2 linked regions of the Nothobranchius furzeri genome follow. The main gene of each other region encodes a partner of the protein of the gene in region 2 in a complex. Links are inferred from orthologs where the notes say so. Each region holds a gene or a part of one and is shown on either strand. Other genes may lie near its edges.

What was found.
Region 1: the proteins of stx12 (region 2) and vti1a are in contact, whole or in part, in a crystal structure (PDB 2NPS), measured with the Rattus norvegicus proteins. The link is inferred for Nothobranchius furzeri from reciprocal best matches to the Homo sapiens genes STX12 and VTI1A. Residues at the interface, in NP_075228.2 of Rattus norvegicus: Glu185, Ile188, Gln189, Leu191, Glu192, Ile195, Leu196, Val198, Asn199, Phe202, Lys203, Leu205, Ala206, Ile209, His210, Gly213, Ile216, Asp217, Glu220, Val223, Glu224, Ser226, Glu227, Val230, Glu231, Ala233, Ser234, Asp235, Leu237, Gln238; in XP_038945999.1 of Rattus norvegicus: Arg131, Arg134, Ser135, Arg138, Leu139, Ala141, Gly142, Ile145, Ala146, Glu148, Thr149, Ile152, Gly153, Met156, Asn159, Leu160, Asp163, Arg166, Arg169, Ala170, Arg173, Leu174, Glu176, Thr177, Asn180, Leu181, Lys183, Ser184, Ile187, Leu188.

Annotation. Positions count from the first base shown.
Region 1 is NC_091756.1:39,753,660-39,758,031, forward strand, and holds the start of vti1a (vesicle transport through interaction with t-SNAREs homolog 1A), read right to left. Parts: upstream 2,853-4,372; 5' UTR 2,693-2,852; coding exon 2,599-2,692; intron 1-2,598. Other genes in the region: palmitoyltransferase ZDHHC6, read left to right, coding at 4,079-4,345. UniProt on the Homo sapiens protein: V-SNARE that mediates vesicle transport pathways through interactions with t-SNAREs on the target membrane. These interactions are proposed to mediate aspects of the specificity of vesicle trafficking and to promote fusion of the lipid bilayers.
Region 2 is NC_091751.1:25,527,554-25,531,645, reverse strand, and holds the start of stx12 (syntaxin-12), read left to right. Parts: upstream 1-1,226; 5' UTR 1,227-1,348; intron 1,349-1,423; exon of another isoform or gene 1,424-1,551; intron 1,552-1,891; 5' UTR 1,892-1,932; coding exon 1,933-2,026; intron 2,027-4,092. UniProt on the Homo sapiens protein: SNARE promoting fusion of transport vesicles with target membranes. Together with SNARE STX6, promotes movement of vesicles from endosomes to the cell membrane, and may therefore function in the endocytic recycling pathway.

The DNA of each region.
Region 1 (4,372 bases), on a different chromosome or scaffold from region 2:
AAATAATAAAAACACACTTATTTAAATCTCTTTTCCTCAGTAGAGTCATGGAGATGGTGTCTAACTAATGAAGTCATCAGATGAGAGGCAAGGAAAACTCTGGACAGGTACCCAGTCCATCACAGGGACACACAGTCACACACTCACCCGTAGGGATAATTTAGCCTCTACTTAACCTGCACGATTTTGATCCGTGGGAGGAAAGTGCAGTACCTACCCACACATGCATGAGAACATGCTAACTCTACACTGAAAGGCTGTGCAACATTGTAGGTATAATGAGGCAATGATAAAGCAGGAAAGGCAAATTTGTAAAACAAATTTACTTAAAACATTGTTTTTATGCCTCTTAATAACATTGTAACACAGTAGAGCTGTAAATATATTGTAGAGATTAAAAAACCTATATAATTGAAAGAAACATGGTCGTCTCTGAAGCCGGAAACATTGCCATGGTACGTTGCACTGGTGATGTTGCATCCAGCTGGTCCAGTAGAGCCAAGAGCCTTTCTTTCCACTTCCTCCAAGTAAAGGTTGGCTACAATAGGTGACACGGGGGAGCCCATGGCGCAGCCATGTTTTTGTCTGTAGCAAATCTCTTTTAAAGGGAGAGCACCCAGCCACTGGTACAGATATGCGGATGACACCTGGGTCAAAATCAAAACACAAGAAGTGGAATCCTTCACTACGCACATCAACGCCGTGGACAAAAATATCAAGTTCACCAGGGAAAACATAAAGGACAACTGCTTGCCTTTCCTGTGCACTTTGAAGAAAATGGCAACCTCAACATTGAAGTGTAGCGGAAGCCCACACACACGGACCAGTACCTCCTCTTCAACTCACATCACCCTCTGGAACACAAACTTGGAGTAATCAAGACCCTACACCACCAGGCAGAACATGTTCCCTCTAAGCCGGAAGGGAAAAAGAAGGAACACACACATATAAAGGAATCACTTAAAACATGTGGCTATCCTAATTGGGCATTGATAAAGTCAGCAAAGATGCACAGAAAAGAAGACCAGACACCAGCGAGGGAGGATAAGAAAGACAGACGCAACAACCTTGTCAACCCCTATGTAGCCGGTGTATCAGAGAAACTCAGGAGGGTTTTCTCCAAAAACAACATACCGGTGTACTTCAGACCCAGCAACACACTCAGACAGAAACTGGTTCACCCGAAAGACAAAACTCCTAAACACAAACTGAACAATGTGGTGTATGCTGTACAGTGCAGCGAGGAATGCCCAGACCTCTACATCAGAGAAACCAAACAGCCACTTCACAAGCGCATGGCACAACATAGAAGAGCCACCTCCACGGGACAGGACTCAGCAGTTCATTTGCATCTAAAGGACAAAGGTCACTCTTTCGAGGATGCCAACGTTCACATTTTGGACAGAGAGGACAGATGGTTTGAAAGAGGAGTAAAGGAAGCCATTTATGTCCACTGTGAGCAACCATCTTTGAACAGAGGCAGTGGTTTACGACACCAACTGTCTGCCATCTATAATCCAGTTCTGAGATCTCTTCCCAGATGCCTCAATGCCCACGCATATCCTGGGCCATCTGACCTCAGGAATTCACATGATAGGGTGGGGCCAGGCTTCACAATGAGCTCACCCGAAACTCTGGCTGTTTGTCTATTACAAAAACTGACTCTGGATCTGTACAATAAATAGCCCAATCACATCGATAGGGCCTACTCTCGCGAGAAACTGTAAGGTTATATAAAACACCTTCTTTGTCATATTATATTGGAATGAGAAGTCGTTTATAGAACGTTATTATCAAATTTATAATGTACGATAATTTGTACTGAAAAACGATAATTTAGGCCTCTCTGTACAATATTGTGGGATTTTGGATCTGGCAACACTGACCCACACCCACCCTCACACCTGGGCTCATGTGTTTATGTAGAAGATCATCAGGGGGTCTTTTGTTCCCTCTTCGGGGGAAACTCCCACTGGGTTTGAATCTGGGACTCTCCACCATTTGACCTTAGAACTGAAGAAGCCTCTCGGATGAGAGGTGAAACATCTTCAAGCAACTCAAAGAAGTCCAGACGCTTTTCTTTCAAAGCTCCTTAGACCAAAAGCATATTTGAAACGTTCTGTAAAGCTGACTCCCTGTCTGTCGTGTTTAAGAGGAGTTTAACTATCTTTCTGTGAACCACTACTGACAGAAGTCTGACTGAACACAACAACAAACTCTTCAAAATAAAGTAAATCTTCATGCAATAAAATCAGCCAGCTGCCAAGATGTTATGCTTATATCAAGTATAAATTCCTGACACGTGTATACTCAGTTTGAATTATTTTGCTGGATTACAGAACAACTTGGAACAAACGTTAAACCAGAAAAAATACTTGAGAGCTAAATTATCACATGCTAAACTACAAACTCACAATCTGCCAGTGATGTCCACGGTGTCGTATAAATATCTAGAACTCAATAATTGCGTAACGTTGGGAATGTATTGCAAATGCATCACATCTCCTGCTACCATTAGCTACCCCTCTCAGCTGAGACTTGATGGCTAATGCTAGCTAGCATCTCACCGATTAATAATAGTAAGTTCAACTGTCTTACCTCCACTTAGTTTAGGAATTTTGCCGATTTTGTTAGTTATTTCTGCGGTGACTGTTCCAAAGTCCTGTTCGTAGGCTTCGAAGTCAGAAGACATTCTGTCGAACGAGTTTAAAATGAGTATTAGCTATCTGACTGTCGGTTACCTCAGAATAATAACAACAATCCCCGAATGGAGTCTCTTCCTGTAGTTGCACTGAAAACAGCTCGACGAGAAACTAGAGGATTTGTTTGATAGTACTAGTTCGATACGTGCCGAATGCGTTTACCTCTCCATTCGAGTTTTTCGTAATATTATTTTTTAAAAATTGACAATTTAATTGTTTGCATTTAAACGTATCTGTAATAGTTTAGGGATTTTGGCTTCTGAAGCACGGCGAGAAAGGTTCCTAGTTCGTCCACCGGAGAAAATCTACGGCAAAAGACAAGGAAGTGACTAGGTTGGTAATTTAAAGTGACAGTTTTTTCGCCTCTCACAAATTTAAATCAAACACTTATCTTTAATAATATTAATAATAGCTTCATATCCGCGTGTCATCTTTGCGTTTTAGGGTAACAATAATGCTTTAGAGGTTAGTCGTGTTGGCAAGCTGGCTAACTAACGTTAGTTCGCTAACTGCTGCCACTAGATCCAAAGACCGAATATCTATTTTTATATATTTATTAACCGAGTAGGCACTCTGATAATCACACATCTACAAAATATATCCGATCCTGATTGGTCGAGTTATACTAGCTGACAGAAATGCTGACTAAAGAGTCGCCATGTTTATATCACTGTGTCAAATTAGCTAGCTTGGTAACAGAAGCTAATTAATAGTCAATGTGCAGGTGCTAATGGTGTGAGGTTGGATACTCATTTAAATATTTTATTTTGTTTAATTTAAAACCAGATAGATACTTGTTGCATTTAGTAAAGTGGAAAAGAAAAGTTCCTCATGTTTAGTGACAGTATTACCATCAACAGAAGAGGAAAAGATTTGCTACGATAGAAAATGAGAGAAATTCTGCATAAATTATGAATCAAACAAGATATGATCTACTGAAGGATGCTGCATCTCTCAAGTCTAAGCTGATTTTTTTATTTTTCCGGGGAAGAATAATTCTTATATGCATGCTTGCCTCCAAAGTACTTTACATTTACACACTTGCACTTTAAACAACTATGTTAATGTTTTTTTTTTTAATTATTATTTTATTTCTGTCTAACAGATGGGGAACTTTAGTTTCTCACGAGGATAGTGTGCTTCGGGTGTTGGCAGGAGACGATGCTGGTCTTCACCGGGTCATGGATTAATGGGACACAGGGAGCCCAAGTTACTCAAGGCCAGGACGCTTGCTGGGTACTCGGTAGAAGAGATGAATTATGTGCATTGTGTGCACCGTTAACAGCACAAGGTAGCAGAGGAAGCGCGTAGCACATCCAACGTGGGTCAATACATCTCAGAAAAGTAGAAAACTGAACTAATCTTCATGTGAGAAAATGAATTTCCTGTCAACCATTGTGACATTCGAGAACCTTCATGAGGTTCGAAGATTGTGCCACTGGGGTCCAATCATAGCTTTGTCTGTCATAGCTATTTGCTCAACCATGGCAATAATAGACTCCATCATTTGGTACTGGCCGCTAGACACCACAGGAGGAAGCATTAACTTCATCATGCTCATCAACTGGACTGTGCTCATTCTCTACAACTACTTTAATGCTATGTTTGTTGGACCTGGATACATTCCTCTGGGCTGGAAACCAGTAAGATTTACTCGTTTTTATTAGTGA
Region 2 (4,092 bases):
TGTCTTGCCCAAGGGCACAACAGCAGAGTTCTCTGTCCGGAGCCGGGATCGAACCTGCAACCTTCCGATTACTGGACAACCCGCTCTGTTGAGCTACTGCTGCCCCAATGTAAACACTGTGAATAATCTACTAAATACTAATGGCGAAACATTATCCCACAAAGTCTTCTTAGAAAAATATAACATTAATACTTCACAAGAAGAGTATAACATGGTAATTAAATCCATCTATGTTTGTATTTTCTATTTAACACAGACCATACAATCAAACATCATCTTATCTGCAACAGCCAGACCTCCAACTATTTCTGGGATTCCAATCACAGATAAGAAATTTAATAATTCTGTTATTAGAAAAGTAATTGATCCTGTCTCAACCCCGATATGTAAACACTGATGGACTTTTATGAATACAAAACTCTGGAACAGGATCTTTCTGCTACCTCACCAATATGTTATTGTGAATAAGATAAAAGAAATTTGATTCAAAATTGTTCATAGATATTACCCGTCAAAAGCAAACATCTGTATTTTTTTCCAAATGTTTCTGACATATGTACTTTCTGTGGTTGTAAGGGAGAAACTATTGAACATGTTTTTGTTGATTGCTTTCATGTAACTTTGTTTTGGTTCCATTTAAAAAGATACATTTCCAAAAAGTTACAAAAAAAATATTTCTTTAAGCAAATATGAAATACTTCTTATTGTTACTAACCCTCATTTATCATCCAATGAAAAATACATAATTAACTTAGTCATTATTTTAGCAAAATATTATTTACATAAAATGATTTTTCAGAAAAGTATCCCCTTCTATAATTTCAGAATTACAGACCTTATGAAATATTGGAACAGCATTGAAAAATTAAAAATGAAGAACAACAAACTAACAAAGACCATCAACTTATTTCATCATTTCAACTTAGACACAGCAGACCCCTAAGTGTTATGTTTCTAAGTTATATATGTTTTCGTCAGTTTTTTTTATTTCTTGGTTTTTTGTTTAATAGTTTCCTAATGTTGCATGTATATTATTGCAATTCTAAACAACTGTAAAATGTGATCCATGGATTTATTGAATGTGTTTTCTGAATAAAACCTGTAAAAAAAATTAATAAATTAAAAAAACACCACGGACCAGGAAGTAGGTTTGGCTCTCTGACCTATGATTGGAGGCCGTGATAAAATGGGTGGGACGCTGCATTGTGATTGGTTGAGCTGTTGAAGTAGCATCCTGGTATTGGTTGTTAGGGTGTGTTGGTCTGTGAGGTCTTAGCGCTAATGCAATATAGCATCAACCTAACGGAGGACGAGTCATCTACGCCCATGTATCGATTTCAATACATTAGTAAGCAAATTACAGCATGATGCCTTGTTTTAATGTAGAATTTCGTCTTTGTTTTAATTGACCACGCTCTGCGTGTCCAGTTTACGAGCAGTTTTTACTGTAAAAAGACGAAAGTAGACAAGTTCGCCACCGTTAGCCTAAAACGAAGGTTTAGCTTCTCCGTTCTACCAACACAACGCTAGCTGAGCTAAACAGATACGACGGTTTGTTGAAGTGTTCCGTTCCTTATTGTTATTGATTAATTATGGGGTTAATTTAAAGGCGTTTAAACAGCAAACTGGTCTGTTCGCTAACTCGGTGTTCGGACATTTGTTTACATTTACATTTAGTTTAACTGCTTAGCGGTGATAAATAAGTGATAATCTGACTTGATTGGACCTTTGAGCTCATTACTGAAATAATCAAACGTCATTCATACGCGTGACAGAGTCAAAAAGGGAAACGAGTTTAAATCTTTAGACCCTTAAAACTTACTTAAACCATTATGTCGTTAAGCCAAATCGTTCAATAATGCAATGTTTATTGTTCCATTTTCTTTTGCAGTTCCAGTTTAACGTGTCAGGAAGCTCCTAACAGTCGCAAACATGTACGGAAAAGCGGAGTTCCGCCCGGTTCACATGGACTTCAGCTTTCTCATCCAGTCCTGCAGCTCAAACATCCAGAAGATCACACAGAACAGTAAGAGGTTTCTCCTGTTCCTCGCGCTTCAGCCTGGTGGGAAATCACATGCCACATGGTCACGTGATGACCATGTGAATGAGCTTTATAGCCTGTTTGTTATCCCCACGGTATTATCCACTGATCATCATCTCTCCAGGGTCGCACTTCAGTCTTTTTGGCTTCTTTAATGTTATTTCTTCAGAGGTGTGAACAGCAGGTCTCTTGATGAATGATCAGTTTCTCGTTTTACAACAAAATTATTTAATAATAAGGGGGGAGTGAGTATGTAACAGGGTGTGGTGTCACTTAATTATTATTAACAATTACTAATAATTATGAGGGGAATTTTTTTTTGTGTTGTTACTGATGTCTGTTGTCCCTCTGGAGTGCTGCAGGAGTACACACAGGGATTTATGGGGGTTGGATGAGGATAATGAAAGAAAGAAAGTAAATCAGTGTTTTGTGAACTGTTTAATTTGACATAAACATGGCAAACATGCTTTCTTGTCATTGTGTGTGAAAAACAGTGTAGAAATAAAAACAAACGACATGTGTTAATAGAGAAATAGCTGGCAAGCCGTGCTGACGCATGACGCATGCGCCGTGAGCGGTTTTGGTACTTTTTGGGTTGCAGCCACTCGCAGCGCTGCTTCAACCCTCACGAGGGACGAGCAAAATATCAAACATGCCAGAAATCAGTGCGAGCTCACGATTGCTGATAGGTAGCTGGTCACGTGGTGTTAATTGCCTCTCGTAACCACCTGTATACTACACGACGCTCTGCACAAAACTTGCCCCGATCTTGTAGATTCTCGCACGAGGGGAAAATCGGCTCAAAAAAGTGAAAGAGTCGCACAGTGCCCGCCTGGCTTAAAGGAACAAATATGATTTTGTAGTTCAAACAACAATGCTAAATATGTTAATTTACATTTGAGAACATTACCTCATGTCCAGTTGAAACTGGTATTGTTTAATGAGTATTGTATTGGTTTTCTCAATGACAGGAAATTGAAACATTGATATAATTTGCTTTTCGTTAAGACAAAATCGATATCGGCAAGTCAGGTTTTTCTCAAGATCGGTGATTGGCCAAAAACTGCAATCGGTGCACCCCTACTTCTCACTTTTTGCAGGAAAACCTAAGTGATATAAAGCTGATTTCTGTGTTTTAGTTCCGTCAGCGGGCTAGCATGTCCAGCTTTTCTGAGAAAGTACGACTTGAAAATGGAATACTTCCTGAGACCAAATCCATTCATCCCGTTCCATCAGCCATTGTGGGCATAAAAAATAAGTAACATCAAAAGTATTAATGTGCATGGCTCACAAGAATGTGTTTTGCTAGCGACACTTGGTAGAGATAGCTTCTCTCAGACCGTCGGACCAATCGGAGGACAAAAAACCCCTGATGTCACCGTGAGCCAACTACCTGGCTCAGCGATGTGATTCTGAAAGCTCACTGGTTAAAAAAACCAGATCCCATAGTAGAGGTTAACCAATGTTGGATTTTCTATTACTGATGCCGATAAGCAGAGCTAATGGTCAGCTGATGGCCGATATCTAGACATCAGTTGATACACAAAATTTCTGAAGCTAAATCAGTTTTTGAACTTGTAATTTAACCAACTGTTAAACCTTAATTTTGTGCACGGCTCAGTGTTAAAATCAGACATCTAACTCAAGTGAATCAAACAAAATTATTTGTTATGCAGAAGTTACTCAGGAACATAACTCTGCAGCAGCACCAGGCTGCCTGAGGATGTGCCTGACTTTAAATCTGCTTTACTAAGGAGATACTGTATATTGGCATTGGGCGATAAATCACTCTACCACTACTATATGGTATAACTAACAAAGGCCCGTTCTACTGATTCTGAACGCTTTGGGCAGATTGGACTCTCCCTGGCATCAATAGAGGCTGAAATCTGATTGGAAGAAAAATCCAGATGTAGAGGACACGGTGTCGGTACAGGATCGGCTCGGGGTCCTTCGACTGCCGATGACGTCACATTACTGCAAATCTACTCGGCTTTCACACATACGTTTTGGAAAGACATCAGCAGTTTTGTTAATAAATTCTTGTTTGT